3 linked regions of the Sus scrofa genome follow. The protein of the gene in region 3 interacts with the protein of the main gene of each other region in a pairwise test. Links are inferred from orthologs where the notes say so. Each region holds a gene or a part of one and is shown on either strand. Other genes may lie near its edges.

Region 1 (3,650 bases), on a different chromosome or scaffold from region 3:
GTAGGAAAGAGCTGTGCTTGGGAAGGGGCCCTCCAGTCACTTGTCTTTTCTCTGCAGGTCCCCAGTGAGGTGTTGCCAGTGTTACCAGACCTTCCATTACCTGTGATACAGGCCAATTACCGTCCGCTTCCTCCCCTTGACTTGATATCTTCCTTTCAACCAAAGCGAAGAGGTAATTTTCTGTATCTTCTTCTTGTTTTTTTTTTTTTGGTTTTGATGGAAGTAGGATCTTAAAAATTCATTCATGATCTGTCATCAGATTTTGGTACATTTCCTAAGAACACAGGTTCTGGAGTTCTTGGGTTTGAATTCCCAGCTCTGAATTCTACTAGAAGTTATGTGAAATGGGGTCATAACAACTTCCTTGGACTTCAGTTTCCTAGTCTGTAAATGGGATTAATGTATCTGCCTATTAGGTGGATTGAAAGTGATAATACCAGTAACGCTCTGAGCTCTGGGTTTTTCCACAGAGTAAGTGTTCACTGATCTTAACTGTTCCTTTTACTAAGATCCCTTTATTCTGTACATTCTCCAGGGGCTTAAAAAGAAGTCTAGGGAGTTCCCTTGCAGTGCAGCAGGTTAAAGATCCAGCATTATCACTGTAGCAGCTGGGGTCCCTGCTGTGGGCAAGGGTTCGATCCCTGGCCAGGAAGCTTCCATATGCCATGGGTGTGGCCCAAAAAAAAAGTGGAAAGTCTATATACTGATGTGGAGTCATTTCTAAAATGTAAATGACAAAATGATGATAGTATATTAATTGGTTAAAAAGGAGTAAAATATTAGCTTATTTTTGTATAGACTCCCTGGAAGGATACACAAGAAGCTGATAGCATTGGTTGCCTTTGAGAAAGGAAACTGGGAGGCTGAGGAATGGGATGGGAAGGAGAGTTTTCACTAGATAACTCAGTGCCTTTTTAAACTTACATTCCTGCTTTCCTCATACCACAGCATTCTCCTCACCCCAGGAAGAGGAAGAAGCTGGATTCACGGGACGAAGAATGAATTCTAAGATGCAAGTATATTCTGGTTCCAAGTGTGCCTATCTTCCCAAGATGATGACCTTGCATGAGCAGTGCATCCGAGTACTTAAAAACAACATCGACTGTAAGTCCCATGCTTCTCCCTTGGCTCGTAAGCACGTTGTGGCACTGGAACACCGGTGACTTGGCCGCTACTCAGTGCTTTTCTCCTTTGATTCTTTGCAGCAATCTTTGAAGTGGGAGGCGTCCCGTATTCTGTTCTTGAACCTGTTCTAGAGAGGTGTACACCTGATCAGTTGTATCGCATAGAGGAATACAATCATGTGAGTATCCTGTTTGCATGGGAAGAGGGCAGTTTTCTGGCTTGTATCTCCAGAAATAGCTTTGTCTCTGAATCGGCCACAGTGATGGGCAGGTGGTGGTCAGATCACTGTTCTGAGTTTGCCTCTGGGCCTTTAAACAGCTTATTTTTAGCACCTGCTTCTGGCATGTTAAGTGAGCCTCTTGGGCTAGCATCAAGGTAGGATTAAAAGGTAGTAGGAGTGTAGCTAGGGCTCCATGGGAAGGCAGAGACCACTTCCCATACCTCCCTTGAGCTTGCCTCGTTTAGGAAGTCAAGAGAGAATTCTGGCAGCACAGCCCCTGGGATGCCAGGCAGGGACAGAGCTCTTTGTTGACCCCCAGATGTCTGGTGAATGTAAGAGCACAGATTGGCTGGGTGTCTCCTAGAGACCAGCAGATTTACCCCCCAAATCTTCCTGATGCTGAAGATGCTCATTTGATTGCATCCACTCTTTTTAATTCTGAGGGATCTATAACATATCCTTCTTAGGTGGCCCCTGGCCATTGCAGTTTAGTGTAGTGCTGGGGAAATGGCTGGATTTGACTTCATCCCAGGTCATGCCCTGCACTGATTATCTAAAGGAGAAAGACTGATCTTAAACTAATTTTTGTATTGTCTTCTTTCCTAGCCCCACAACCCCCCAAAGCAGCTAGTATAGTGCCTTACACTTAACATTTTTTTAATTCAGTGATTTGGGTTTTTTCCTAGAACTGTGGTATTTTAATATATTACTACTATTATGAGGACCAAAACATCATTAGGAACCTGTCACCCCTGGGTGATTAAGGATGGAAAAGAGATGTATAAGAGTGCTTGCATGTAAATGACATCCTGGTTTTGATTTTAGGTATTAATTGAAGAAACAGATCAATTATGGAAAGTCCATTGTCACCGAGACTTTAAGGATGAAAGGCCAGAAGAGTATGAGTCGTGGCGGGAAATGTACCTACGGCTTCAGGATGCCCGAGAGCAGCGGCTACGAGTCCTCACAAAGAATATCCGATCTGCACACGCCAATAAGCCCAAAGGTAAGGGGGCAGGATGAGTCTAGCAGAGCAGTGAGCCCGTGTTCTGATCGACAGCAGGGCTTTGGTGGGCTTGGCTGAGGTAGAATCTCTGAACCCTGGATCTCTTGCGTTTGCGGAAGAGGGCAGAGGTGGCATGCTTCTTCCACCACCGCCCATGCTGCCCTAGAGAGGGGCTTCCAGGGTTGATAATCCCATACCTCTGGAGGGATTTGCAAAACCTTTATCTTTTGATAGCATAGATTATTGAAATAACAGTAGCATCTCAGCTGAAGAAGGCCGGTGTTAACCTCCATTTCTCCACAGGCCGACAAGCAAAAATGGCCTTTGTCAACTCTGTGGCCAAACCACCTCGTGATGTTCGAAGGAGGCAAGAGAAGTTTGGAACAGGAGGAGCAGCTGTGCCTGAGAAAATCCGGTAAGACCTCTGCTCCTGTGGTTCCTTCCTGCTCAGGGAGAGAGCCCAGGATCTTGTCATTTAGCCTGAAGGGGCAGCCTGGGGACAGGAAGCAATTTGGGGGTGAAAGCATGGCCTTGCAGAGTGGGTTCTGGAGGCTGACCTTAACCAGCTGGGCACTTGACCTCCCTGAGCCTCAGCTTCCTTGACTGCATTGTGGGCCAGATAATAATTCCTGCCCCTTAAGGGGTCATAATTAAATGGAGAAAAGGGCCTGGCTACTGGGAAACATCCTCTAATGCTTTCCCTTCCCCCATTGAAACAGTAAAAATGTTACCACGATGACACAGCTATCTAAGTACACTGGCATTTTCAAAATACAGATTTACACCTAAACACTGAAAAGTCATTTGAGATCATCATTCATTCTAAAGGGCTGTTACCATTGTCACTTCCAAGCCATCAGCATAATCGAAGGTACTAGGTCCATTGGTCCAGGCCACAGACCTGAGTCCTCGGACCAGCCAGCTTCAGGCTCTTGGTACCAAGGGCAGACCTCTCTTACTCTTGACTAGCAGCTTTGCTTTGTGTCCCAGGATCAAGCCGGCACCGTACCCTGCAGGAAGCAGCCGTGCACCCTTCAGCAGTGGCAGCAGCAACAGCTTTAACGCTAGCCCGGAGGAGCCAGCCTATGACGGCCCGAGCACAAGCGGTGTCCACTCTGCACCTATGATCAGCAACACTGTTTCCTATGACCCTAGGAAACCGACTGTGAAGAGTAAGTAACTTGGGGCTCCTGCTCAGGTATTTCAAAACTAGTATTTGCACCCCTTTAATGCCATTACTGCTGCATGGCACTTTGTGATTAGATGTAGCCTATGTGGTGCCTTGCCCACAGTTGGTCT
Region 2 (3,650 bases), on a different chromosome or scaffold from region 3:
ATTTACAGTGTTTTGATAATTTCCGTAGTACAACAAAGTGATTCAATTATGCATGTACACACACTCATTCTCTTTCAGATTCTTTTTCCACAGATTATCACCGAATATTGGGTAGAATTCTGTGTGCTATACAGCAAGTCTGTTGCCAGTCATTCCATATATCTCACTGTGAATATGTCAATCCCAAACCCCCAGTCCATTCTCCCAGACTTTTTTTCAGTCTGAGAGTCAGCTTCTGTTCTATGAATAAGTTCATTTGCATCCTTTTTTTTGATTCCATTTATAAGTGATATAATATGATGTTTGCCTTTCACTGTCTAACTTCATTTAGTATGATAGGTTCATCCATGTTGCTGCAAATGGCATCCATAAAAAAAATGAAATAATGCCATTTGCAAAAGTATATATATTTTTTGTCTTGTTTTTTTTTTTTTTTTTTTTTTTTTTTGTCTTTTTGCCTTTTATTGAGCCGCTCCCGTGGCATATGGAGGTTCCCAGGCTAGGGGTCGAATCAGAGCTGTAGCTACCGGTCTACGCCAGAGCCACAGCAATGTGGGATCAGAGCTGTGTCTGCGACCCACACCACAGCTCACAGCAACGCTGGATCCTTAACCCACTGAGCAAGGCCAGGGAGTAAACCCACAACCTCATGGTTCCTAGTCGGATTCGTTAACCACTGTGCCACAACGGGAACTCCATTTTTTTTTTTTTTTTTTTTTTTTTTTTTGTCTCTTTAGGGCTGCATCTGTGGCATATGGAGGTTTTCAGGCTAGGAGTCACATTGGAGCTGTAGCTGCTGGCCTGCACCACAGCTCACGGCAACACTGGATCCTTAACCCACTGAGCGAGGCCAGGGATCAAACCTGCAATCTCATCGTTCCTAGTCAGATTCGTTTCCTCTGAGCCATGACGAGAACTCTAGTACTCTTTTTATATGGAATTATTTTTACATATTTTTTCTTTTTATATTAGTAATCATGTATCAATATAAAAGTCAAAACATATCAAAGTTAAATGTGTTAAAAAGTTTATATCTCCATCCCCTCTTCATATGTATATGTGTGTGCGTGTGTATAAAGCTGAGTCATTTAACTGTACACCTGAAACTAACACAACATTGTAAGCCAATAAAAAAATTGATTTCTTCAGCAAAAAAAGGAAAAAAATATTATTTTGCTGCACCTATAGTAATAAACTCTCTCTCCTTACATATCTCAGAGATTTGTGTTGAAAATGAGAATTGTATGAGAGTACTTTAAAAGCATTGTGGAAGAAAGTTAATCTTTATTTCAAAGGGAGTAGTAATATTACCTTATTTTTCTTATCTACTGAGAGTCCTTTCTTTCAAATACACTTAGGACTTGTTGCTAAAATTCACAGCTAGTAAGATTCCACGAGGAGGTAGAACAGAACTATTTTTCTGTACATGCTCAGGCCAGTGTTTTTTTTACTCACAGATGAAAAATTAGAATATGATTTTATTTGAATCATAATTGTTTTCTTAGGATTTTGGCAGGTTAGTTCCATTGAAGAATGGTTTTGTTAATTCCAGTCCATACGGAATGGTATTTTTATGAAATTATGGTTTGGATGTTGAAGCAATGTCAAGTTGCCATAAAAGTTTCTAAATACTCTGAATCATTGTACTTACCCATCCCAGACTGGTAACAGACCATTTATGGACTGGCATCAATCCGTGGAGCCTATTTTGCATAGCACTGGCTTAGAATTTAGCAGAGAAATGAGGACAAGGAAGATAAGAGAAAGCCAATGTCTGCATAGGAGGAAAATAGTCAAAACTGAGCATTGTAGAATCCATGCTAATGACCTTTAGATATATTGAGATTCTATTAGGATCAGACAGACAAAGACAAAGAGGCAGAGAGACAGATAACTGCTTAACCATCTAAGATAGGGTTGGCAGACTTCTTCCATAAAGGGCTGGATAGTAAACATTTTAGGCTATGCAGGCTAAGAACTCGACACTGCCCTTATAGTACAACAACTATAGACAGTATGTAAATGAAAGAGTGTGGTTGTGTCCCAGTAAAAGTTTATTTACGAAACTGGCAGTATACCTGATTGGGCCCAAGGGCCCTAATTTACCAACTCCAGGTCTAAGATACAGTGACTATCTTAAAGCAGATCATGAGTATCTTGGGATATAGAGTATCAGGAATAAGTTTTTCCTGCTCTTTCTTAATGTCTTATTGAGTTGTCACCTCAGTAACTGGTGTTCAGCGAACTCCTCTCTGGTATGTGATGAGAATAGCACAAGGCCTAACTTATAATAGGACTTCAGAAAATGTTTCATGATGCTATACAGATGTTTGTGCTCTTCCACGGTAGATGGGCTGACCACCATGATCTAATTCATTTCCCTTTTTCATTCTGAAATTGGTTCATCACCTCCTAGGAAACCCAGAGATTCTGTGAACAAGTCCATGCTGCCATCAAGGCAATTATTGCAGCATACTATTCGCTTCCCAAGGATCAGGGTAAGCCTCTCTACAGACGTGAGCATTTGGTTTATGGGATAGATGTTTGCTAATATGATAGCTTATGTCCTGACACTTGTACCTTTACCGCAATTTGGTCATGTGATATAACTTTCTCCCATAAAATTCAATCAAAGTTTAAATTTATGACATAAGTGATCTCATAAGTAAGCCTTTGTGCTAAGATACAGATGGTCTCTTCCCATCTACCCTGATTCTAAGGTTTTTAATTCTCACAGGCTCCTCTCTCTCCAACCTGTTATAACCACCACAGATGCTGGCTGGATATTAGGCATACCCAGGCCACAGCCATCCCCGGGCTTCTCCACCCATATTACATCACATCCTATTTCTATCTCCTTTATAAGTTAAGAGGTCTCCAGCCTCCCCTGTATATTCATGCCTTCATTATAATCATGCTGCAATTACTATTTTTCCTTTTTGTTGCCCTGTGACATATAGAATTCCTGGGCCAGGGATCAGATCCAAGCTGCAGTTGTGACCTATGCTGCAGCTGTGGCAATGCCAAATCCTTAACCAGCTGTACTGGCTGGGGGTCAAACCTGTGTCCCAGTGCTTCAGAGATGTTGCCAATATCCTCATGCCACGATTATAAATTGAGTACATGTCTCATGGATCTTCAGGGCTACTCACATTTTTTAAACTTGAAGTGTTTTATCCACAATTGTCAAGGAACCACTGTTTTTAATGATTGAGTACATGCTGCCATGGAAAGATCTTGTTTCAGATCTCTTTTGGAAAATACCAGTAAGGAATGGTGGGAGGAGCAAGAAAATGACATTGGGATATAAATAAAACGTGAGTTTTGGGTTGGCACTCCAGTTAAAGCATGTGGGTGCACATTACCTCAAATGCTATAGGACTTAGACTCTCAGGAAAGCAGATGGTGACTTCTGGAAAGAAGGCCAGGCTGCTTAGTCATTGGTTTTGGCTGCAGGAACCACCTTGAGAAAGCTGGTAAGGAGTGCCACTCTTGACATTGTGGATGGCATGGCTCAGCTTGTGGAAATGCTCTACGTCACTCCAACGCAGAGGTAGTGATGCCACGGTTTGGGTTATCAGTTAATGGGGCTCCTTGCTTCTGGGAGGGGGAAAAACTCATTTTAACAGTGAAGTTACTGATAGCTGAGA
Region 3 (4,087 bases):
GGCAACTTGCCCCTGTGCATCCCTGTCTGGAATGCTCTCCTCCCACATATGTCCTGGCCTGCTCCCTCTCTCTTTCAGTACTTTGTTCAAATGCGATCTTCTCTGTGAGCCCTACTTAGATCCCTCTATTTAAATTGCAAGCTTCAGGGAGTCCTCATCATGGCTCAGTGGTAATGAATCCAATTAGTATCCATGGTGAGGGTTCGATCCCTGGCCTTGCTCAGTGGGTTAAGGATCTGGCATTGCCATAAGCTGTGATGCAGTTCGCAGACAAAGCTGGGATTCAGCATTGCTGTGGCAGTGGTGTGGGCTGGTAGCTACAGTTTCGATTTGATCCCTAGCCTGGGAACTTCCACATGCCACTGGGTGTGGCCCTAAAAAGACAAAAATAAAATAAAATAAATTCCAAGCTTCAGCCCCCTTCCCTGCTTTATTTTACTCTATAGCTCTTATTTACTTCTAATGTATTATGAATGTATGAATGAATACTGCTTGGAAACATGTATAATAAAATATTCTAGGAGTTTCCTCTGGCTCAGCAGTTAATGAACCAACTAGGATGCAGGTTCTATCCCTGGCCTGGCTCAGTGTATTAAGGATCTGGCTTTGCTGTGAACTGTGATGTAGGTCATAAATTAGGCTCAGATCTGGCAATGCTATGGCTGTGGCATAGGCTGGCAGCTGTAGCTCTGATTCCACCCCTAGCCTGGGAACCCTCATATGCCCTGAGTGTGGCCCTAAAACAGCCCCCCTCCAAAAAAATATATATATAGATAGATAGATATTCTAGATTCCACATGTAAATGATATTCTTTTTCTTTGGCCAGTAGTTTGAGGTTTGAAGGGATAAAGCTTATGAGCTTATGGTTTAATATCTTTACTGTGTCTTCAGGTAATCCAAGGTTGTTATGCATTACCTGAACAAACTCTTATCGAGTATTTCAGTGCCAGGCACTCTTGAGTAGAAATATTAATAGTTAATACGTGTGTGTATTCGTTCACTCACGCAAATACATATTTACTGGGTGCCAGTTCTACTGGAGACACCCATTATAAGCGTTTCATTGGCTGTTCCCCGGAACCCCGGAGGCCGGAAAGGAGGGAAGACGTTCAGTCCTGCCAGCAGGGGGCGCGCGCGCCCTCCCCGCAGCCTCTCTGCCCACCGAGGCGTCCAGGCTCCACAGCTCGCTCCCGAGCGCGCCCCCGCCCGCCGCGTCACGTGATGCGGCCACCGACCCTGAGCTGCCGGGCCTAAGCCGAGCTAAATTCGTTGCCGGGGGCCTCTGCGGTGCAACCACAAAAGCTAATCCGAAGGAGGGGGTAGGGTTGTGGGGTCGATGCTTCCTCTTCCAATTCAGGTCGGCTCCGGTTACCGTCTCACCCTTCGCCGTTTGCGGCTCCCGGGGCGTTTGCATGCGCTCTTTCGTGCGGGGAAGCTCCGGTGACCATGTAGGGGAAAGCGGGAGGAAGCTCCAGCTGCCTGAGGGGAGGTCGGCGCGGTCGGCACGCCGCCTGGCACCCACCGCCTCGCGGGCCGCTGGCCCAGGTGGGAGCCCGGCCTGCAGTCGCGGCCTGACCCGGAGCGCCGCCAAGTCTCGCGCCGTCTCGCGAGAGTCCAAGTTGAAGGAACATGGCGACGTCTAATCTGTTAAAGGTAAGATCCTCCGTCCGGCTTGGTTTTTACTCCGGGGCTGCTGGTTCAGCTCTGAGGGAAGGGCTTGGCTTAGGTTCCGCGGCGAAGTGTGCGAATGTTCGGGAGTTGTCTGCGGGAAGGGACGTCGGGAGGCTGCCGCCGAGGGCCAGACTTAGGTCTTCGGCCTTGGGGTCGGGAGGCCGGTCGTCCGCCCGCGGGTCGGCGGCTGTGAGGCGGCGGCGGGCTGGGGGCCGTGCCTTCGGGACCCCGGAGGACAGTGCTGTGCCCGGACGGCTCGGCCAGGTGGCGTTCCCAGGGTCTCGGTTCTTCTGAAGCGAGAGTCCAGGACGCATAAAAGGAAGATCCAGGAAAATGTGGCCGAACTGGTTTTAATGCCTCGACCCCCACCTCCTCAATTTCTGTTCTCCTGTCTGCACGAAATTCCAAGACCCAGGGCAGTGCCCGCCGCCCTGCTCCCTCCCTTTCCTGCACGCCGCACCTTCCCTCCCTTTCTCCCTTTCTCGAGTTCATGTTTTAGGACTCTGTTCCTCAACCCCAGTACTGCTGAGGAAGCACTGCCATCGTTTTAGGGCTTGGGAAACTTGCCTTATGAAAGAAAACGGTTAAAGTTAGTTTTCTATATTTGGGATAGAGAGGGAGATCTAGGGCCAGAGGGGCAGGTCTACCATCATTTACAAAGTTTGGAGGAGAAGGAAGAAGGCATAACACTAGTTTCTTCTATGCGGTGTTTGTAGTAGGAACCTTTTGCTTTAAAAGTATTGACTGAATTGGGGGTAGTGATGAACTTAGGGAACACAGTGCAAAGGCTGAACTCCTCCGTCAAACCTATCATGCCTTCAGACTGTGGATGGATAACAAAATAATAGAGTGGCAGATATAAAATTACTGTAACCATTCATGTTCTCTTTAGACTACTAATATTAACTGTCTAATAGATGAGACTGTCTTATAAAATGTAGACCTAACTTACAGATTTAAGAGGCAATGTATCTTCTTTTAAAAGGGGAGGACCTAGAACTAGACTGAATTTCTGCCACTTAGAAGCTATATGACTTTGGGGAAGTTTCTAAACCTCTCTGTGCGGGAGTTTTTTCATCAATACAATGGAATTGTCAATAGCTCACTTCAATAGAAGCATTGTGAAAATTGAGTTAATAATGTAAAAATCTTAAAACAATGTCTAGCATTTAATTAGTACACAATACACATAAATTACTGGAGTTACTATTTCTGCTGTTTCTCTAAGAAAACAAGTTCATGGGAATTGAGTAACCTATTCTACTCTACCCTTTTATGAGAGTACAGCAAAGTTCTAATATATTAATTCTGAAAGAAAACTTGTTTAAGTTCTGAAGACTCTTGTTAATGCATAGAAAACAATTGCATTGTTAATTGAAATGTGTTCAAGAAGTAATTCGATACCTCATTCTTTGTGATTTTTCTTTTTCTTTTTGGCCATGTCATGTGGAAGTTCCTGGGCCAGGAATCAAACCCACACCACAGCAGCCACCCATGCTGCTTCACTGACAATGCTTAACCTGCTGCACCACAGGAGAACTCCTCTTTGTGAATTTTTGACTTGTTGCTGTAAAACAAGGTCTTCCCCCCGCAGAATTACCTCTCAGAAAAGAGCAAGTCACTTTATTCTGTTCTACTCCATACAAAGCCTTAAAAAGGATTATTTGGAGGACATGTAAGTCTGAAGCTACTTCATTCATTACTATTTTTTTTTTTTTTTTTGGTCTTTTTGCTACTTCTTGGGCCGCTCCTGCGGCATATGGAGGTTCCCAGGCTAGGGGTCCAATCGGAGCTGTAGCCACCGGCCTACACCAGAGCCACAGCAACGCGAGATCCGAGCCACGTCTGCAACCTACACCACAGCTCATGGCAATGCCGGATCCTTAACCCACTGAGCAAGGGCAGGAACCGAACCCGCAACCTCATGGTTCCTAATCGGATTCGTTAACCACTGCGCCACGACGGGAACTCCGATTACTATTAAGTGGTTACCTTGCAGAGATTATGAATCTACTTCTACAGCACACACTTACTTATAGATGAAAAAATTGCCTGAATGTATAGAAATAGGCACTTAGGAGTTAGGTTAAAAAAGCTCATAAAAAAATCAAAAAATTCTGTAACTCAAACAACTTTTATCAAAAAAGTAAAGTGATAATACTTTGACAAAATTGGTAAACGTTGCTCTAGTGAACATGAAGAGATGTCAACGATACACTTGACAAAATTTCAACAAATTAATGAAATGTTGAAAAGAGGGAAAAAGAATTTCTAAATGTTCTTATTTTTTTTATTTTTTATTTTTTTGTCTTTTTGCCATTTCTTGGGCCACTCTCACGGCATATGGAGGTTCCCAGGCTAGGGGTTGAATCGGAGCTGTAGCTGCCGGCCTACGCCAGAGCCACAGCAACTCAG

Evidence for each region.
Region 1: the proteins of CUL5 (region 3) and ELOA come close enough for resonance energy transfer, tested with the Homo sapiens proteins (3 studies listed by BioGRID). The link is inferred for Sus scrofa from reciprocal best matches to the Homo sapiens genes CUL5 and ELOA.
Region 2: the proteins of CUL5 (region 3) and CCNDBP1 interact in binary tests that used the Homo sapiens proteins (3 or more experiments, as listed by UniProt). The two-hybrid records come from large-scale screens. The link is inferred for Sus scrofa from reciprocal best matches to the Homo sapiens genes CUL5 and CCNDBP1.

Annotation. Positions count from the first base shown.
Region 1 is NC_010448.4:81,574,750-81,578,399, forward strand, and holds part of ELOA (elongin-A), read left to right. Parts: intron 1-57; coding exon 58-172; intron 173-948; coding exon 949-1,104; intron 1,105-1,205; coding exon 1,206-1,303; intron 1,304-2,170; coding exon 2,171-2,351; intron 2,352-2,654; coding exon 2,655-2,766; intron 2,767-3,341; coding exon 3,342-3,523; intron 3,524-3,650. UniProt on the Homo sapiens protein: SIII, also known as elongin, is a general transcription elongation factor that increases the RNA polymerase II transcription elongation past template-encoded arresting sites.
Region 2 is NC_010443.5:128,262,904-128,266,553, reverse strand, and holds part of CCNDBP1 (cyclin-D1-binding protein 1), read left to right. Parts: intron 1-2,416; coding exon 2,417-2,498; intron 2,499-3,456; coding exon 3,457-3,553; intron 3,554-3,650. UniProt on the Homo sapiens protein: May negatively regulate cell cycle progression. May act at least in part via inhibition of the cyclin-D1/CDK4 complex, thereby preventing phosphorylation of RB1 and blocking E2F-dependent transcription.
Region 3 is NC_010451.4:36,418,669-36,422,755, forward strand, and holds the start of CUL5 (cullin-5), read left to right. Parts: upstream 1-1,137; 5' UTR 1,138-1,630; coding exon 1,631-1,654; intron 1,655-4,087. UniProt on the Homo sapiens protein: Core component of multiple cullin-5-RING E3 ubiquitin-protein ligase complexes (ECS complexes, also named CRL5 complexes), which mediate the ubiquitination and subsequent proteasomal degradation of target proteins.